Linked DNA regions of Mus musculus. The protein of the gene in region 1 interacts with the protein of each later gene in a pairwise test. Links are inferred from orthologs where the notes say so. Each region holds a gene or a part of one and is shown in the gene's direction. Other genes may lie near its edges. The genes, in order: Bcl2l13, Plp1, Gabarapl2, Pln and Tmem86b.

Region 1 (3,514 bases):
AAATGGCGCTAAGGGAGGCATCCTTTGACGCTTAATAATCACACTCTGTGTGCATGTGGCCCTGGCCTGCCTGGCATTTGTGATTCTCTGTCTCTCTGTCTGTCCCCCCCCCCCCCCAAGAAAAAAAAGAAGAAAACAAAGTGTGTATTGGGAAGTGGCCAGGAGAAAATTGCTCATGAAAATTCTTGCTCAACTTTTACAATTTTTAAAAATTTGTCTTGTGTGTATGGGTATTTTGTCTGCATACCACATGTATGCCCTTGACCTGGAGTTACAGATGGTTGTGAGCCACCATAGTGGTTGTGAGCTGCCATGTGGGTGCTTGGAATTGAACCTGAGTCCTTATCCCCTCAGGCACCTCTCTAGCCCAGTTTTTATACTTCTTAAATTTAATTTTTATGTGTATGGGTATTTTATCTTCATTGCTTCTATGTACTACTTTTGTGCCTGGTGCCTGCTGAAGCCAAAGATGGCATGGATCTTCTGGAACTCAGTAGCAGACTGGAACTCAGTAGCAGACAATTGTGAGCTGCCATGTGGGTGCTGGGAGTTAAATCCAGGCCCTCTGTAAGAGCAGCCAGTGCGCCTACCCTATGAGGCAGCCCTCTGGCCCCTTGCTTGGTTTCCATGTCCTATACATGACCACAGCAGCTAGTAAAGATCTTCATCTCTTTCCTTTCTGAATTGAACCAACACCCCCTGAATCTGAGCGTGTTCCCTTCTCCCCACTCCTCTCCTGCATACTTCCAGCCGTTGAGATTCAGAGGAACCTCCCGAAGGCTAGGCTCATCCTCAGAAGCCGGCAGGCTCAGCAGCACCTCTTCTTTATTTGTTACCTGTTTGCTTCTGAGAGAAAATCTCACAGTGCAGCCCTGACCAATGCCTGTATAGTACTGTGTATTATATTAGAAATTAATGTATAATCATTGTTTTATTATATACCTATTTCCTTATATACCATTGTTTTGTTAGTTTTTTGGTTTGGTTTGGTGTTTTGTTTTCTGAGACAGGATTTTTTGTGTGTATCCTGGGCTTTATTACAACTCACTCTGTAGACCAGGCTGGCCTCGAACCCACAGAGTTCTGCCTGCTTCTGCCTCCCCAGTGCTGGGACTAAATCACACTCCTGGTGTGATTTTTTAAAAAATTTTTATTGTGTGTCAGTGTGAGAGACCACTAGTTATAGATTAAAGTCCTTATTTCTAGCTCAGTCACTCATACTGAACTTCCTCCTCCCCATACACAGTGCAGAGTAAGCAGTTAGCTCTTCCCTGCCAGCCCTTTGGAGCTCTGTGCTTTGGCTGCCGTGTTCCTTCTTGATGGCCATTACTGCGGGAATGCCATGATTTTCCATATTTGCCTTCTCACACCCACAGACCCGTTGTATAAGCTTGCACTAGCACTCGGTCCTGGCAGGGTACTCGGTGGCAATACCTTCAAGAGTGCAATATCTCATTTCCATTTTCTCTGCTGACTTGAGTTAATTGGCTGTATATGATACACAATGAATATCAATTTATAATTTTTTAGTTTCAAGGAAACTAAAATTCTAAACTAAAAATTCTGCCATTTAGCAGGCTGTGGTGGCACAGGTCTGTGATATCAGCACTTGGAAGGCTGAGGCTGGACAGAATATTGAGACTGTTGGGGGAGAGAAAAGGTGTGATCATAATATATTGTATGGATAATCTTTTTTTAATTAAAAGAAAATGTTTAAGGGGGAGGGGTATTTTGAAACCAACTCTAGTAGAAGCATTTTTTTTCAAAAAAAGGAAATAAAGTAAAACTCTTTTCCACATTTTCCTTCAGATGGGTGTTCTCTGCTCAGACACTGTAGGGATCCAGGAGTTTATTTACTCCTGAAACTGAGGTTAGCTAAGAATGATTTTCCTAGGTTAACACGTTCTCACTGTTAACGGTCTTTGTGTGGTCCCCTCTTGTGTTTTAGGGCAGTGTCTTTAGTCTTGAGCCTGAGGAGGAGGAATACCCGGGGATCATTGCGGAAGATAGCAATGACATTTATATACTGCCCAGTGACAACTCCGGACAAGTTAGTCCCCCTGAATCCCCGACAGTGACAACATCCTGGCAGTCGGAGAGCCTTCCCGTCTCACTGTCTGCTAGCCAGAGCTGGCACACAGAAAGCCTCCCGGTGTCGCTCGGGCCCGAGTCCTGGCAGCAGATTGCAATGGACCCTGAAGAAGTGAAGAGCTTAGACAGCAGCGGGGCTGGGGAGAAGAGTGAGAACAACTCGTCCAACTCTGACATCGTGCACGTGGAGAAGGAGGAGGTGCCAGAGGAGGCCTTCCCGGGAGCGGCTGCTCCCTTGCTCACACAGGTCCCTACCGTGGAGGCCCCAGAAATGATGAGAGCTGAGAAAACGAGCCCCACTCCGTCTGTGTTTGTGGAGCTTGGTGAGGAGGAGCTGGAAGCAGTAACAGCGAGACCCGAGGCTGTGGAGAGGGCGGAGGGGGCCGCTCAGCTGAGTGAGGAGAGAGCCGGGAGCAGGAAAAAGAGCCACACTGGGGAGGCCGCCGCTGTCAGGGGGGCAAAGAGTGGCCTGCCCGCCGAGGGCAAGGCCGTACTGCTCTTTGGTGGGGCTGCTGCGGTGGCCATCCTGGCAGTGGCTGTTGGAGTTGCACTGGCTTTAAGAAGAAAGTAACAGTCTTTTCAGATGAGACAAGACAGAAAGACCTACGGCTTTAGCTGTATTCACTGGAACTTAGACTGCCAGCAGCTACTGGACATTTGCAGGACACTGGAGGAATTGGGCTTTCAGCTCAGCGTGGCAGTGTCTTGAGACAGTGTTCACATTGGCCTGGTTGTCATTTTAGGGCCTTGGCTCATGCTAGATTCAGAAGGGCAAGAGTGAAACTCCCACCTCCAACAGGTTAGTCAACTTGGGCAGTAATTCTCTGTAGGAGGCTGCTCTGTGCATTATGTAATGATCGGCAACATCCCTGCCTTCTACCCACTAGATGCCACTGGCACCCACTTACAGTGATGGTAGCCAAAAATGTCTCCTACATTGCCAAATGTCCCCCGTGGACAAAGTCATCTCCCTTTTGAGGGCCACTACTTTAAGGGATAGGGTTCAATTAGGAGACTCTGGGGGAGGAACCTGCAGCTGGGACGGCCTGCTGTTCATCCTGTTGCAGTTTCTCGGGGCAGGTGAGCTGACCGTGCTCTGCAGCTGTTTTCTTTCTGGTCCCCATTCTGTATCGTGAGGTGCTCTCTCCCGCATCACACCACCTCTCAGGTACTGCAGCAGGGCAGTCTCACCCTGTACTTCTTTCCCACCCAACAAGCTCCCGAAGCTCCCCACGGCTCCATCTTTCAAAGATGATGCCTTTAGGGACCTTTAAAATGATAAATACCCAGTCCAGGCGTGGTGGCACCTGCCTGTATTTAGGAAGCGGAAGCAAAGAGATTATCCCAAGTTCAAAGCTAGCCTGGTATATATACCAAGACAATCTGGGGCTGTTTGGTGAAACCTTGTCCCAAGAAAAGGGAT
Region 2 (4,133 bases), on another chromosome or scaffold:
TGGAGTCCAGAGTTGTAGGTCCTACTCAGTTTTCCTCCTCTATTGTCTCTTATCTCAAGACAAAAACCACAGGACAAGTTCAGGAGGACATACCTTATTTTTTAGAGGTATAGAAATGACAAGTTCCACAACTTTCCTTAGAGCCATTCAGCAGTAGAATCTTGCTTCTAAATCAAGAGGGTTATGAGTGTGAGGCTTCTGAGGTGAGAGAGAAGATAGACAAAGAAACCACATAAGCGCTCCTTAAGGTGCACCTGTTTTAGAAAGGACTAGAAAAGTTTGCCTAGCTAACATCACCTTTTATATTTGGTTCCTTCACAGACGTCAGAAATCACTCTTACCATTGTAAATGGTTCACAAATACTTCCCCTCTTTTTACTGCTTGGCCATATTTTTTCATAGAATCCTCTTTGAGACAAGGACTGTATTTTCTTTCTCCCCCCCCCCCCAACTCTGACTGCTGCTTTCCCAAACGCTCCTTCCGTCTCCTTAGCCTCATCTTCACTCTGATGGGAACACTATTTCCTGGGAAGAGTTTTGACTAGCTGCTTGCCAGTTTGTGATAATGTCTTGTCTCAGAGTTCATTTTCCTTGAAAATTGCCTACATGGTCCACTCTGGCCTTTTTGTCCCTTGTGACCTTGGCACAGGTCTTGCCCTCTCCTTTGTATCTCTGTTATCCAAATGTACTCTCATTGCACGTCTGGCTTTTTTGAGCCTGGTCACACACAGTCTGTTCATAGAATCAGCAGCTGGTTCTATCTGCATTCTTCTAAAACCAAAGCTTTTGAAGAAATTATTTTAAATGACTTTTTTTCTTCCCCATTGTGTTTCCAGTGCCAGGAAGAGAAAGAATGCTTTTTTTGCTTACAGAGGAAAGGAAAGGTTCCATGGTCAAGGGCAACGAGCAGTGAGAGTTGGGTGCGGTGTGTTTGGTAGTATAGTAAGTAGGCTTTTGATTCAGACCCCCTTCTCATCAGGGCTACTATTTCACATGACTTTACATGCTCAGACCCAGGTATGACACATTTAAATGGACCCAAGGATCATTTGGGAGGATTCAAGAACCCCTCCATTTAATTTACACCCCTAATTCACACTTCCTGATTTATTTAAAGCAAAATGAAATTCTAGAGAAGCTTTAGGGGGGAAAAGAGAGAGAAAGAAAAAAAACAATTGGGAGTGAAAAGGCATAAAGAGAAGATGGAGCCCTTAAAGAAGGGAGTATCCCAAAGGAGGTGGGGACAAGGGGAGGAGAAGGGGAGGAGGAGAGGAGGAGGGAAACGAGCCTGTCTCTTTAAGGGGGTTGGCTGTCAATCAGAAAGCCCTTTTCATTGCAGGAGAAGAGGACAAAGATACTCAGAGAGAAAAAGTAAAGGACAGAAGAAGGAGACTGGAGAGACCAGGATCCTTCCAGCTGAGCAAAGTCAGCCGCAAAACAGACTAGCCAACAGGCTACAATTGGAGTCAGAGTGCCAAAGACATGGGTGAGTTTCAAAAACTCCAGCATCAAAGATGCAGGCACAGGAGTTCAACTTTGGGGCTTTGGGTTTCCAGTGGCTTAAATAAGTTGTGTTTTGGCACTTATTTTCTGTTTTAATTTCTTAGCATTTAACTGTATTAACCCCTTCTCTGCTGTGCTGAGCATACTGCTTCACTGCCAACGAATCCTGGCAGTACATGTGGTGTCTTCCAGACCTTTGGAAAATGCACACAGGTTGGCTATGATCATGTGGCTTCTTACCCCTCACTTCCTTGTCCTCTCTCCTTTCCCCGATCTTAAGGCCCTGATTATGGTCAGGTTGTGTGGGACCCCTTGTTCTGCTGGAGGCAACTTGAATATTGACTAAGCTACAAATGCATTAAGTACTTGCTTCCCTGATACAAACTTCAAAGCATGTTTTGCATCAGTAGGATGTGGAGGAATGGGGAAAATTGGACTCAGACTTGGCAGTGCCTATAGTGGACATTCCAGGTTCAGAAAATGAAAATACAGTTCACAGTGGTTTTACCATGCGGAATAGATATGGATTGTATGTGCTTGTGTATGCTTGTGTGTACGGATGCATGTGAGCACACACATATAGGACAACATTTCTAGTATCATGGACTTACCCTTAATCCCAGATATAACAAGGAGGCTTCTATCTAAAGGCTTTTGTTAAGTTGTCTGAGACCTGAGGGTTTTTCTATGTTCCACAACTATGGAAGATGTAAAATTCTGCTGTCCAGCAGTGCCTGTTCAGAGTAAGGTGTGTGGGGCATAAGGGTCTTTGCCTAGGTAAGATGCTGCAGAGATAGGTACTTATTGCTCACATGTGGGGAAGATAAAAGTAGCAACTTGAACACATCCTGAAGGAGAGGAGATTCAGTTTTCCTGTGTGTTCACCGTGCAACTTTGTAACCAGTAAAAAGATCCACAGAAGTAGTTTTTCAATTAGAAACTGAACTGTTGTTAACCTTGGCTTTTTTCATCTCAAGTCACTGAGGGAACTGTTACAAGTATATATGTAGGCAGGATAGTTAAGAGGGTGGCGTCTTAGACTACTGGTCCAAACAACCAGGTTTGGATCTCAGCTCAGTCTCTAAGGAACTCTGCAAAATTAGGCATGTCACCATGAATCACCATTTCATCATCTGGTAGACAGGGGCAACAATAACTGTTTTGTCTACTTTCAGGGTGGAAGATCAAGTAATAAGGATGTGGCAGCCCTGTCAGTGTAGAGAAGTCCTATAAACCCTGTAAATTCTGATGACAACGACTACTCTGCACCAGTGCATATCTAGGCTAACCCTTCCTCTTTGCAAGGTTGTCTTTGTGCATACCTTGTATGTAAGAAACATTTGATCTCGTAAATGTAGCAAGATGGGAAAAAGTCACTTCCTGCTCTGGACCCAGGAACCCTATCTAACATTCATGTGGCTGATTAAATAGGTTGTTCTTTCAAAACAGAGGAGGAGTGTAAGTTGAATTACTTCCTCAGGGGATAAGGCCCTGAAGAGATAAAGACAGGAAGAGAGAAAATGACCAGAGGAGCATGTTCTTGTAATGGAGGCTGAATGATCTCCCCCAGAGGATGTGGATGTGGGTGGGTAAGCAATACATGGACTAGGGATACAGGACAGAATAGCCACTGTCTCTGCAATCACTCAGTAACACAGTATCTGAGACCATGTGAATTTTCAGCCATTTCTGACCAGGCAGTGGAATGCTATTGCTTCTGATGTGGAATGCTGTTCAACCCTTGCAATAGACCAGTCAAATCATAGAGTTTGGAATTGAAAGGAACATTGGAACGTATCTGAGGTGGAGTTCTGTGTGGTGTCACATGCCTTTAACACCATAGGAAACTGAGATGGGAGAATCATTAGAAAAGGCTAGCTAGACAACATAGAGAGACTCTGATTCCAAAAGAAGTTGTCTGAACCAACTTTCAATGCAGAATTCATTTCTCTGACTAAGATAAATATACATATGTCTCTGCTTAATCGCCTCCAGAAACAGGCAGCTTATTACCTCAACCAGAAAATCTCTTAGGATTGGAACTGAGCAAGACTATTGGGTCCGGTGATACCTGAGCAAAAGGGTTATGGGCTGTGGAATAGCTTGGCAAGGAGACACTTCACATGAGTCTTTGGAATAGCAACGGAACTGAGAAAGCCAGAGAGCCATAGTGAATATTTTTCTGCTCAGTAACAATGCCATCAGTGAACAGCAAGACACCTGGTTCCTCGAGCTTTTTGTCATCTGAGAACAGCAGCCGTTACCCTGGCAACCAGACTGTGCATCTTAGATGCTTCCCTCTAAGAGTGGCTTGAAAGTACAAAATGTGGAGGCAGAGCAGAGGCTGAGAATTCTACTAGGTACCTGAGGACTATCTGGATGCCATCAAAGGCACCACAAGAAAGCTAAGACTTAAGAAGAAAGCAGGTTTAGACCAGTACATTAAAGGACTCTTCCTAGAGACGCTGACTGAAGTGATCAAGGGCAGCCTTCACCACGCCACTTCTTACCTTGCTCTGCCTAGCTAGAAGCTCTTGAAAGACTAGAGAGATTAAGCAATTTGCCCTGCTTTGAGGGGCTTTACCTTAGCCCTGAGCCAGGACCCCAAGAAACCTAGTCAACAATAAGGT
Region 3 (4,104 bases), on another chromosome or scaffold:
GCCCTGGCTGTCTGGGAACTCACTCTGTAGACTAGGCTGGCCTTGAACTCAGAAATCCACCTGCCTGCCAAGTACTGGGATTAAAGGCATGGGCCACCACACCCAGCTAACACAAAGTTTTAAAAGTTCTTTAAATTAAATTTTTTTTTCCTTAAGATTTTCATTATCTTCCCTGCATCTGGGTGTGTATGTGTATGGAGGCTTGCCACAGTGAATGCCTTGAGGCCAGAAGATAACCTTTGTAAACAGGTTGTCCTCCATCACTTGGGTCCTCAGGATTGAACTCCGTCTGGCAGGCTTGGCACCAAGCGTTTTTACCTGCTGGGAACTGAGTCTCTCCCCTCCCCCCAGTGGAAAATAACAAATACTTTCAGAATGAAGTTATAGCCACAGCATCTATCAGGAATTTCAACTGTAGGGAATGATTGATGACAAGGTTCAAACACTGGCTCTACAGATGCGGCAGATCATATAAGCACGTGGTCAGGTGGCCGATTAACTGCATATTCATGTTCTGTGTTCACCAGTGCATAAACAGATGGTGACCCAGAGCCGACTTCCTGGATGACTATGCTACGACTTGGACAGGGGTGGAACCTCGAGGCTTGTGCCTAGGGCAGGTGACACCCACAGCTCAGGGTTAGTGCCGAGCCACTCCCACTGCCAGCTCCTTCTCCTAGGGTGTCTTATGACCAGCTCTCCCAGGAATCCTCCCCGCCTGACACTGGCACTTCGCCTCTGACAGTTTCCGATAAAGAATCTCTGTGATCAGGGATATTCCGTTGACTAAATGAGTATGTGTGGTACTTGTTCATAAGTGTTCATGAATGTTTAAAATATGTATTCGTGAGTGGGAAGTGAGATTTGTTTAAATCAAATTTTAGGTGCAACAACTCCTATACTAGACCTCTAGGTGGTCACCAGTACTCGTTGCACACAGCGCTTGGAACAGGTTATCCCTCCATGCCGAGCTCCCGCCTTCTCACCCAGCCAAAAATTAATATTCATTTCTCCTTAAGCCCCAGACTTCCCCTTCCAGAGCCCTTTACAAGCGTTCCAAGCTATGAGCCATGACCTGCCTGTCATGCACAATCCTGAAACTCCATTCCAGTCACTAATTCCTAAAGTCTCCACTGTCACTCACAGACTTCCCAGCCACCTACGTCAGTCTCCATTCCCAGGAGCGCTCCTAGGTCTCCGCTTAGGCTCCGCCCTCTCACGTAATCGTAGCCTACTGAAGCTCTTACCAGGCCCGCCGGAAGCCCCGCCCCGGGAGGTTGCTAGGCTCCGGCAGCCGGAAGTCCCGCCTGTGGAGTAGTCGTCGCTGCCGCCGCCGCCTCCGTTGTTGTTGTGGTCGCTTCGCCGAAGTCCGCGGCTCGAAGAGCCGGCTCCGTCGCTTCCCGTCGCCATGAAGTGGATGTTTAAGGAGGACCACTCTCTGGGTAAGCGCGGTCGGCCTGCGGGGCCCCAGATCGCGGCCCCTCCCCCACTCCCGCCGCCCTGCCGGGCCCGCTGGGTCGCCAAGGCCCCGGCATCCTGGCGCCTCCCACGGACCCGTGTCGCCCTACGTGGATCTCGCTGGGAGTTCCTGAGGGGATCTGTGGCGAGGGACTCCGGGGCTAGGACTCGGGGCGTACGCACGCAGGCAGGTTGCGGGCGGAGAAGGGCGGACAGGAAGAAGGGGTTCCGGCAGCGGCGGCCCTGCTGTCCGGCAAGTGCGAATGTCAGCCTGGTTTTCTTCTTCCCCAGAACACAGATGCGTGGAATCCGCGAAGATCAGAGCGAAGTACCCCGACCGAGTTCCGGTGAGTGTGGACTCCCCGCCCCCTCACCCCGCTGTCACCCTTAGCGTCTAGGAGAGGTGTCGGGCGGGCGCGCTAGGCCGTGCAACAGTTGAGAACTTAAGGTCTCAAGGTGTAGCCCAGAGACCGAGGACAGCCTGGGGTTCCGCCGGCCCAAGCTTGGGGCTTAAGGGGCTGGTGCTGTCCAGGGGCACCAGTGCTGAATCTCCCGATCTAGGGCAGCAAGCTGCTTGCAGCCTCTCGGCTCCCTCACCAATTATGTAAGGAACCGTGTTCTAGGACAGGGCAACAGGTCACTGCCACTTTGGGGAATGATGGTGGAGGGAGACTGGCATTTGGGGTTGGATACGGTAGCATCCTTTCAAGGTAGTCATCTTTAACGCTGGACCTTTAACTTCGAGTTTCTCTTTACCCTGATTCTGCCATCCTTGTTTGACTAACAAATCTGAAATGCTCTCGTTTTGCCTCTAATCAATAAGTATGTTGCTTTATTTCTGCTTTCTGCCCTAGTTGGGGCGATCGTTTCTGATATCACTATTGATTTTTGAAGGACATAAAGTCTTACTATTGTAGTGCTTTGCTTGTAAACAGTCCCTTTGAGAAGCAGGAGGATAAATGTTAACTGTTCAGAGAGAAGCAACAGGCCAAATGAAAATGTCGGCTCTTGGGTGGCTGTAGTTGTATAGCTTTGCCCTTAGTTCATCCATTTCTTTCCAGTGTTGTTGGGGATTGGAATGCTCTAACAGGGTCTATCTATGGATCAAAAGATGACAGATGAAACCCTAGCCAGATCAATCTTTTCATCGGCCTAGATAAAATGTTAGAGAGCTACCCTTGCAGTGGGGTGGCACGTGCCTTCAGTCCCAACATTCAGGGGTCAGAGGCAGCTGATCTCAGAGTTTGGGGACAGCCTGGTCTACAGTTCCAGGACATCTGGGACTAACAGAGAGACCCTGTCTCTGGAAGAAGATAGAAAGCTTTGTAGCTGTGCTTCTCTTACAAACGCTGAGATCAGAAATGAGGAATATCAGTCAGCTCTGGGCCTCCAGAGCGGGGCTTCTTGAGCTGTGGGCATATTGATTTACTCATCTGTGCCGTTTCCCACACACTGCCTTGTCCACACTCTGCTCATCAGACTGGAGCAATCAAGCCCTGTGGGTAAGTGCTGGAGCTCGCTCTCCCTCGCCGTCCCTCTCACAGTGCTGGGAACCAGGTAGCAGCCTTTGTGGATTCCAGGCAAAAGTTGCTCTGTGGAGGACTGGCCTGAGCTTCTGACCCGTCTTTCCCAGGTGATCGTGGAAAAAGTCTCGGGCTCTCAGATTGTTGACATAGACAAGAGGAAGTACTTGGTCCCCTCGGACATCACTGTGGCTCAGTTCATGTGGATCATCAGGAAAAGGATCCAGCTTCCCTCCGAGAAGGCCATCTTCCTGTTTGTGGACAAGACAGTCCCACAGTCCAGGTAAGAAGTGTTTGCTAGCTGGGCCTGTGGCTTGGAAATCCATTCGCCGCTTATAAAACTCAAACCATAGGAGGTGTTCTTAGTACAACTTCTTCCTTTCCTTTTCCTTCCTTCCTTCCTTCTTTCCTTCCCTCCCTCCCTCCCTCCCTTCCTCTCTTTCCCTATCCCTCCCTCTTTCTCTCTTTTGGTTTTTCAAGATAGTTTATTTCCTCCTTTTTTTAATTAGATATTTTCTTTATTTACATTTCAAATGTTATCCGGAAAGTTCCTTATACCTCCCCCCATGCCCTGCTCCCCTACCCACCCACTCACACTTCTTGGCCCTGGCGTTCCCCTGTACTGAGGCATATAAAGTTTGCAAGACCAAGGGGCCTCTCTTTCCAATGATGGCCAACTAAGCCATCTTCTGCTACATATGCAGCTAGAGACACAAGCTCTGGGGGTACTGGTTAGTTCATTTTGTTGTTCCACCTATAGGGTTGCAGACCCCCTTCAGCTCCTTGGGTACTTTCTCTGGCTCCTCCATTGGGGCCCCTATGTTCCATCCTATAGATGACTGTGAGCAGCATCCACTTCTGTATTTGCTAGGCACTGGCATAGCCTCACTGAAGCTATATCAGGGTCCTTTCCGCAAAATCTTTCTGGCATATGCAATAGTGTCTGGGTTTGGTAACTGATTATGGGATGGATCACTGGGTGGGGTAGTCTCTGGATAGTCCATCCTTTTGTCTTAGCTCCAAACTTTGTCTCTAACTCCTTCCATGGGTGTTTTGTTACCTATCCCAAGGATGAATGAAGTATTCACACGTTGGTCTTGCCTCTTGATTTTTCTTGTTTTGC
Region 4 (2,921 bases), on another chromosome or scaffold:
ACCCAGGACAGTGAGACGCTCACACATGAGAGACAGAAGAGAGGCCTTGGGGACTGGAGAAGGGGATGGGATTTAAAATACAGCTGAGGAACGAGCTGCTGCAAAGCTGTGCATATCTACCCAGAGAACGGGTTTAGGTATGAACCTAATCTGTTGACTATTTTTTACATCCCAGGTCTCCTAAAAGAAGACAGCTCACATTTGGCTGCCTGTTGTCAACTTTTTATCTTTCTCTTGACCACTTAGAAAAACTTGTCTCCCTACTTTTGCCTTCCTGGCATAATGGAAAAAGTGCAATACCTCACTCGCTCGGCTATCAGGAGAGCCTCCACTATTGAAATGCCTCAGCAAGCACGTCAGAATCTCCAGAACCTATTTATCAATTTCTGCCTCATCTTGATATGTCTGCTGCTGATCTGCATCATTGTGATGCTTCTGTGAAGAGCTGCCGCCACTCCAGACCTGCAACATGCCAACTCAGCTTAAAGCCGAGCACTCCGTCATGGGGGAAGCAACGCACCGCTGCCTTCCGGCTGAGAACAGCTTTGTGAGGGTCACGATTAAGAGTGAAACTAATTGTTAGCCAGTGTATTCATCTGCTGGATCTTGTAAACAAACTTTACAGTGGCTAAGTGTGCATAATGTAGCTGCCAATTTCCTCAACATGGCTCATAAATTTCTTTCCTAAATATTTCTGACAATGAAGTATGAGTTTTAATTTTGAAACACCACTACCAAAAAAGTTCACTTTCTATATCCAACTCTAGCAAGGTCACTTTATAGCTCCAGTCTGGGGAATAAATGGAATATATACTGCATTGCCACTACCTTTTTTATAGGAACTAAGTGTTCTTCAGTTCTCCACAAAGTAGAAAATAGTCATTTAAATGAAGTGTTCTTATTGAAAATAGCTCACTGGGTCCTCACATAGATGACACAATGATGACGATGATGATGATGACGACGATGATGATGATGACGACGATTCAAATCTCTTGGTCACTACTGTCAGAACAAATACCTTGAAAAAATGTTGTGCCCTTTTTCTACACACTAGTATTTTTAAGCTTATGAGAGTTAAAGGGGGAAATGTAAGAACATATTCTCATATAAAATTATTCACTAATTTTGCTCAAGGGCTGTGTACATGTACATGTACATTAACCACAAATCTGCTCTCTCTAGGGTTTGATCAACAAGCAGGAACATCTTGCTGTGTTGGCTGTGATAATCACTAAAGATCCAGAGTCTCACCTGAAGCTTGTCGCTCTCATGTATCTCCTTGGTTTAATAGCGTTTCTCAAATAATGAAGATAACAGTAATAACCAAGCTGTAGTAAGACACAGCTCTTTCTTTTCCTGATCTCCCAGAGAGGAAGTGGTTGTCCCCTAACTTTAGAAGTAGAACTAGAGAGCTAGTGTATAATTCTTACTGACCATGGTTTCAATTTCCCTTTCTAAGTTTCTACTATCTCTCAATAACTACTAAAATAGAAGCAAAAAATAGATTGGAAAATATATTCACCAAAATTTAGTGACTTAAACTGGATCAAGTACAAAACAGTTTATGCCTAACTTTGCAAACCCACAATTTTTAAGTCCAGTTCAAAACATGCTACTAACATAGCAATTATTAAGGAAGAGAATTGTAATTAGATATATTTTCCATAACCATTACTACAAAGACATAAAACATCAGTATTCACTTTGGTCTTTAGCAGAGCAGCTGAAGGCTGCTGATTTAAACTGTTTGAACCCCTGGTAGAAAGGAAGCTGTTCGGGTTCAGAAATTATCTAAAGAGTAGCCCCTAAAGGAGTCCAATGGTAACAGGGGGTCTCTTCATAAAGGCTGGAGGGGCCCATCACAGAAACTATAAAACATGGATGACATCATCTCTAACTCAGTGGTATTTAACGTTCCCTTTCTGACGCTGTGGCCCTTTTATATAGTTCCTCATGTTGTGGTGATACCCAACAATAAAATCATTTTTGTTGCTATTTCATAACTGTAATTTCGCCTCCTTACCTCCACTATGAATTGTAAATATTTTGGAAACAGGTTTGCATGAGGGGTTGCAACCCACAGGTTGAGAACCACTGGTAAGAGGTCTGTAAAAAATACATAAGTTGTGTAGTTGGCCATGCTGAGAGAAACGTGACGCTGAAGCTGAAAAGCACCAGGCATTTGTTATATTGCTCACTACCACATCAACTTCAAGGTATAAACTGTCAGCTCATAAGGCTCTTCTCATTAAACATTTAATGCTGCCTTTTACATTTTTAGTAGTTTATTTGTAGTTTATCTGTAACTGTTTATCTGTAAAATGAAATTGGAATGACCTATATTCAAATGGAGTTTTGATTTTGGTGAAATTACTATACAATTATATTCTATTGACTATAAAATGTTGTCTTGTTACAAAGAGTTTTGTGTTATAAAGGGCAGAGTGGGGGAACTTTTACCAAACAAAGTAAAAATCAAGATTTCCAGAGAAAAACACAAAAGAGGATAGGCCTACACATAATAATATTTTTTAGCCTCCAATTATTTTGAGTCTTCTGGCAAAGTAGGAGTGCAATCAGTAACATAAGAAGGCTTGGTTACACACTAATACCAGATTTTTAATGTCTTGAAAGGACATGATAAATTATATAGACATGGAAATAGAGATAGACAAATCAATCCGTAAAGCATGTATCCACTAGCAGATGCTTTAAGCTACCCACTATGTCACAAACTGTGACTGCATGTGTCATAGTCACCTCCTCAGTATACAGATTGTCTCAGCTAAAGAGTTAAAGATAAAACAGCATGAAAAATAATGAAACTAAGAAAATTTTCTTTTTAAAAAAACATAAGAAAATCCGAGTTACAAGCCAGACTTTTTCATTCACAATTCATTTCGAAGAAGTCTTTTATG
Region 5 (4,202 bases), on another chromosome or scaffold:
AGTAAGAAAGAAAGCCAGGACAATAACTGGGCCAGCAGCTCTGAAGCACACCTTCCCCGTCTGTCCCAGTAGGGGCTGGCGCTGGGGTTGGAGGCCGCTGGCCTGTGCTCTGGTGCAGATGCTCTTACCCAGCTTCACTCAGGACCACCTTGGGGTGTAACAGAGGGTGTCATCCGGCCCCTGGCCCTGGGGAACATCCCTAGAGGCCCAGAATGGGGGTTGCTGGGTACCCCATGCCCTGAGGGTTCCAGCACTGCTGCCAAGTGGCCTTGTCCCAGCTCCCCCTGCCCCCCCCAAGGCTGGTGTGAGTGTGCAAGTATGTGTGCAGAGCTTGTGTTTCATACTGCAGATATAAATAAAGGAAGATAGCAGAACATTCCTGCTGTGGGACTGTGAGTTCTGGGACTCAGAGTTGGGTGAACTTGCTCTTCATAGCCTAGAGAGCTACATTCTCTTAGGACCACACTTGTGAGAGTGTGTGTGGGTGTAGGGGATGGGGAATACTTAGACATCAGGCAGAACATCAGGAGTTAGCACTCTGGGGCGCTCTCATCCTGATATGTGTACCTCCGTGGCCCTGTTCCAAAATGCAGATCAGTTAGGGCTGTGCTGACTCAGCTCTATCCTCTAACAGGCCTGCTAAAAGGAGCAAGAGGTCCCTGGACTTTGGAGCTGAGCGTCCTGCCATTACGGGGATAGGAGGCACCAGGCATGTGGTGGTGGCAGAGGCAGAGGCAGGTGGATCTGTGTGAGTTCAAGCCCAGCCATGTCTACAAACTGAGTTCCAGGACAGCCAGGGCTGGGCAGAGAAACCCTGTCTCAAAAACAAAGGTGTGGGGGCTGGTGAGATGGCTCAGTGGGTAAGAGCACCCGACTGCTCTTCCAAAGGTCAGGAGTTCAAATCCCAGCAACCACATGGTGGCTCACAACCATTCGTAACGAGATCTGACTCCCTCTTCTGGAGTGTCTGAGGACAGCGACAGTGTACTTACATATAATAAATAAATAAATCTAAAAAACCAAAAACAAAAAACCAAAGGTGTGGGAGAGATTAGGAGACAGGAAGCTCCCTTGAGAATGGACATACAATGAAGCATCCCTAAGGGGGATGGTTGAGGAACCTAGTAGTTTCTTGGCATCCAGTAGGTCCCTATCTTGTTCATGGGAAGGCTGCAGAACATGAGTGTACAGTGGTGTGGTCGTCCTTCCTTCCAGGGAATGTTTGAATGACTTCAGGCACAATGCAGGATTTATTTAACCAGTGTTTGTGGCAGGACCCCTGTTTTCCAGGGTTGGTTGTAGGGCTACCCCTCTGTGGAACTTTGCATTGTTCCTTATAATTGGCTGGGTGTGAGACAATGGGAGTTCCACTTTGGGGGAGGGGGCTCACTTTTGGAGGTGGTGGCCAGGTTTCTAAGTGCTGGGGGGTGGCCCTTGGTGCCTGATGGGTACCTTATCAGCAAGTGCCAGACAAGAGCAGGCCTTGCGTGAGCCCTGTTATCAGCCCCAGAGTCCACAGGACACTTGGGTTAATGTGTAACCACAAGACTTCCCTCTGCCCTCTGAAGCCACTGGCTCCTAAAGAGAAGCAACTCAGCATGGATGCTAGAAAAGAGGGGCTGCCCCTGGAGACACTCTTTTCAGACCAAGTGAGAACCTGTAAGGTGGGGATGGGCAGGTCTGGGAACATGGGCAGTACTGGGGCCTGTGATTCTCTATGCTTGGTGAGTTGGTGGGGATGCCCTGTCCTTCCAGGAGGCTGGGTTCTAAGGTATCGTGGTTTTGTCCTTGCAGGAGATAGGAATGAAAAGGTTCTCAAGGTGGCTAAAGATCCTAGTCCCGAAAGTCCAACCTGGACATGCTTGGGTCCTGGCATGAGGGTGGTGTGGGGGATGGCCGTTAAAATAGGTTCTCACTGGGTATCCTAGACAGGTTTTGAAATCAACAGCCTCCCGTTTCCACCTGCTAAGTACTGGAATTAGACATTTCCTACAGTGCCTTGCAGTGACCCCTCCCCCAGGACTGGCTGCGAATGGGAGGGAGGCTGAGAAGCTTCGCTCTCTTGAAGTACCCACAGGTCCGCAGGTGGCTGGCCCCCTTCATCCTTGCCTGCTCCCTTTACTTCCTCCTCTGGATTCCTGTGGACCAGCCATCTTGGGTCAGTGCCCTGATCAAGTGCCAGCCCATTCTCTGCCTGGTTGTGTTCCTGTGGGCTGTGGCCCCTGGTGGGAGCAGCACCTGGCTCCTGCAGGGAGCTCTTGTATGTTCTGCTGTGGGAGATGCCTGCCTCATCTGGCCTGAAGCTTTCTTTTATGGTGAGCAGGGGCTTCTATGACAACACACCTAGGGTTCTTGTGGAGTTGAGTCAGTACTGGGACACAGCTTTTCATTATATGGAGCCCTCCCTCCCTAGGTCCTCTGGGTTATCCAGAGGTGCCAGAAGGCAGTGATGGGTGACAGCATAGCTCACAGTTCAGCCAGGGGCTTGGAGTCAGACTGGTTGGAAGATGTGGGATTACCTGGTTGGAAGGGGTGGTGTGGAGAAAATTAAGGTGTAGCATGACTGAGGTGGGTGGGGGAGGTAAGGAGTCATTTTTGAGATGTCTATATATGAGGGCTGGTCTGAATGGCCTCAAATGTTGGATCCTCCTGCCTTAGTTTTCTCAAGGGCTAGGATTACAGGAATAAGGATATGTAGCTGTGTAGATGGGAAGTGTGGCCATCCTGGGCATGGAAAGTGCATGTGGAAAGGACCTGGGGTAATAGTGTATGAGTTACTTTGTCCAAATGGGCCAGTTTGGCTAGAGTAGGATGGGGAAAACAAGGGTATGGGGCTTCCCAGAACACGATTTGGAAAGACAGGTACTTGAGCAGAGCAAGCACATGATGCCATGCATCTTAAGGTTATCACCATTGCTTTGGGAACTGATTGAACACCCAAGGATAAGAAGAATTTGGAGACCCATCAAGAAGGAGTGCTATAATCAGCAGATCACGATGGAGCTGGTGCTTTGGGGGCACTGTTCATGTCTGGTTGTGGCCAAGACAACAGGGAGAAGCAGGAGGCCAATTGGTGCCCACCCTACCTCACTGAGTTCTCATCCCTCTCTTCTTCAGGCACGGCAGCCTTCTCTGTTGCCCACTTATTCTACCTCGGGGCTTTTGGCCTGACCCCACTGCAGCCCGGATTGCTGCTGTGCACCACCTTGGCCTCTCTGACATACTACAGCTTCCTCCTGCTACACCTTGAGCAGGGCATGGTCTTGCCCGTGATGGCCTATGGGCTGATCTTGAACTCCATGCTGTGGCGCAGCCTTGTCTGGGGTGGAAGTGCTAGCTGGGGTGCTGTGCTCTTTACATTCTCAGATGGTGTGCTGGCCTGGGACACTTTTGTCTACTCTTTACCTTTTGCCCGCCTAGTGACCATGAGCACCTACTATGCAGCCCAGCTCCTCCTCATCCTGTCGGCTCTCAGGAACCCGGGGCTCAAAACCCACTAATGCAGGCCTCAGACAGCCTGGTATCCCCTCCCATAGGGACCTTGGCTTTCCACACTGACCCAGCCTGGCAAGTGAATGCTTCCAGTCATATGCTGACAGATATGTGGCCATCTTTAACATCTGTATACTGTTGGCAGAATTTCAGATCTACCACTGATTTCAAACTGCCTTCCCTGGCTTCTTCTGGATTCCAGGACCCTCAACCCAACCCATATCCTGTCTTCCCCTCCCCATGCCCACTTCCTTTTCCCAGTCAGCCTTTCCTATCCACCTGCCCCTTCACACTGCTCCAGATCTGGTTCTAGCTGTTTAAGTAAAATGAGTGTTGGAACATCAGTGTCACCATTATTTGGGAGGAATGTATAGGGGGATGATGACAGTTCTAACAGCAAGCATGGATTTAGGGGAAAAAAAATGATTTAGGTGTGAGTCTTAGGGTTTCTATTCCTGGATAAAACATCATGACCAAGAAGCAAGTTGGGGAGGAAAGGGTTTATTCAGCTTACACTTCCACATTGCTGTTGATCACCAAGGGAAGTCAGGACTGGAACTCAAGCTGGGCAGGAAGCAGGAGCTGATGCAGACGCCATGGAGGGATGTTTCTTACTGGTTTGCTTCCTCTGCCTTGCTCAGCTTGCTCTCTTATAGAACCCAAGACTACCAGCCCAAGGACCACCCACAATGGGCCCTCCCCCTTTGATC

What was found.
Region 2: the proteins of Bcl2l13 (region 1) and Plp1 interact in binary tests that used the Homo sapiens proteins (3 or more experiments, as listed by UniProt). The two-hybrid records come from large-scale screens. The link is inferred for Mus musculus from reciprocal best matches to the Homo sapiens genes BCL2L13 and PLP1.
Region 3: the proteins of Bcl2l13 (region 1) and Gabarapl2 interact in binary tests that used the Homo sapiens proteins (3 or more experiments, as listed by UniProt). The two-hybrid records come from large-scale screens. The link is inferred for Mus musculus from reciprocal best matches to the Homo sapiens genes BCL2L13 and GABARAPL2.
Region 4: the proteins of Bcl2l13 (region 1) and Pln interact in binary tests that used the Homo sapiens proteins (3 or more experiments, as listed by UniProt). The two-hybrid records come from large-scale screens. The link is inferred for Mus musculus from reciprocal best matches to the Homo sapiens genes BCL2L13 and PLN.
Region 5: the proteins of Bcl2l13 (region 1) and Tmem86b interact in binary tests that used the Homo sapiens proteins (3 or more experiments, as listed by UniProt). The two-hybrid records come from large-scale screens. The link is inferred for Mus musculus from reciprocal best matches to the Homo sapiens genes BCL2L13 and TMEM86B.

What each region holds. Positions count from the first base shown.
Region 1 is NC_000072.6:120,884,730-120,888,243, forward strand, and holds part of Bcl2l13 (bcl-2-like protein 13), read left to right. Parts: intron 1-1,948; coding exon 1,949-2,662; 3' UTR 2,663-3,514. UniProt on the Homo sapiens protein: May promote the activation of caspase-3 and apoptosis.
Region 2 is NC_000086.7:136,821,432-136,825,564, forward strand, and holds the start of Plp1 (myelin proteolipid protein), read left to right. Parts: upstream 1-1,326; 5' UTR 1,327-1,482; coding exon 1,483-1,486; intron 1,487-4,133.
Region 3 is NC_000074.6:111,939,411-111,943,514, forward strand, and holds the start of Gabarapl2 (gamma-aminobutyric acid receptor-associated protein-like 2), read left to right. Parts: upstream 1-1,292; 5' UTR 1,293-1,408; coding exon 1,409-1,442; intron 1,443-1,749; coding exon 1,750-1,805; intron 1,806-3,091; coding exon 3,092-3,264; intron 3,265-4,104. UniProt on the Homo sapiens protein: Ubiquitin-like modifier involved in intra-Golgi traffic. Modulates intra-Golgi transport through coupling between NSF activity and SNAREs activation. It first stimulates the ATPase activity of NSF which in turn stimulates the association with GOSR1.
Region 4 is NC_000076.6:53,343,582-53,346,502, forward strand, and holds the end of Pln (cardiac phospholamban), read left to right. Parts: intron 1-175; 5' UTR 176-282; coding exon 283-441; 3' UTR 442-2,418; downstream 2,419-2,921. UniProt on the Homo sapiens protein: Reversibly inhibits the activity of ATP2A2/SERCA2 in cardiac sarcoplasmic reticulum by decreasing the apparent affinity of the ATPase for Ca(2+).
Region 5 is NC_000073.6:4,627,669-4,631,870, reverse strand, and holds Tmem86b (lysoplasmalogenase), read left to right. Parts: upstream 1-1,388; 5' UTR 1,389-1,532; coding exon of another isoform or gene 1,533-1,598; coding exon 1,599-1,649; coding exon of another isoform or gene 1,650-1,664; intron 1,665-2,068; coding exon 2,069-2,315; intron 2,316-3,117; coding exon 3,118-3,500; 3' UTR 3,501-3,831; downstream 3,832-4,202. UniProt on the Homo sapiens protein: Catalyzes the hydrolysis of the vinyl ether bond of choline or ethanolamine lysoplasmalogens, forming fatty aldehyde and glycerophosphocholine or glycerophosphoethanolamine, respectively and is specific for the sn-2-deacylated (lyso) form of plasmalogen.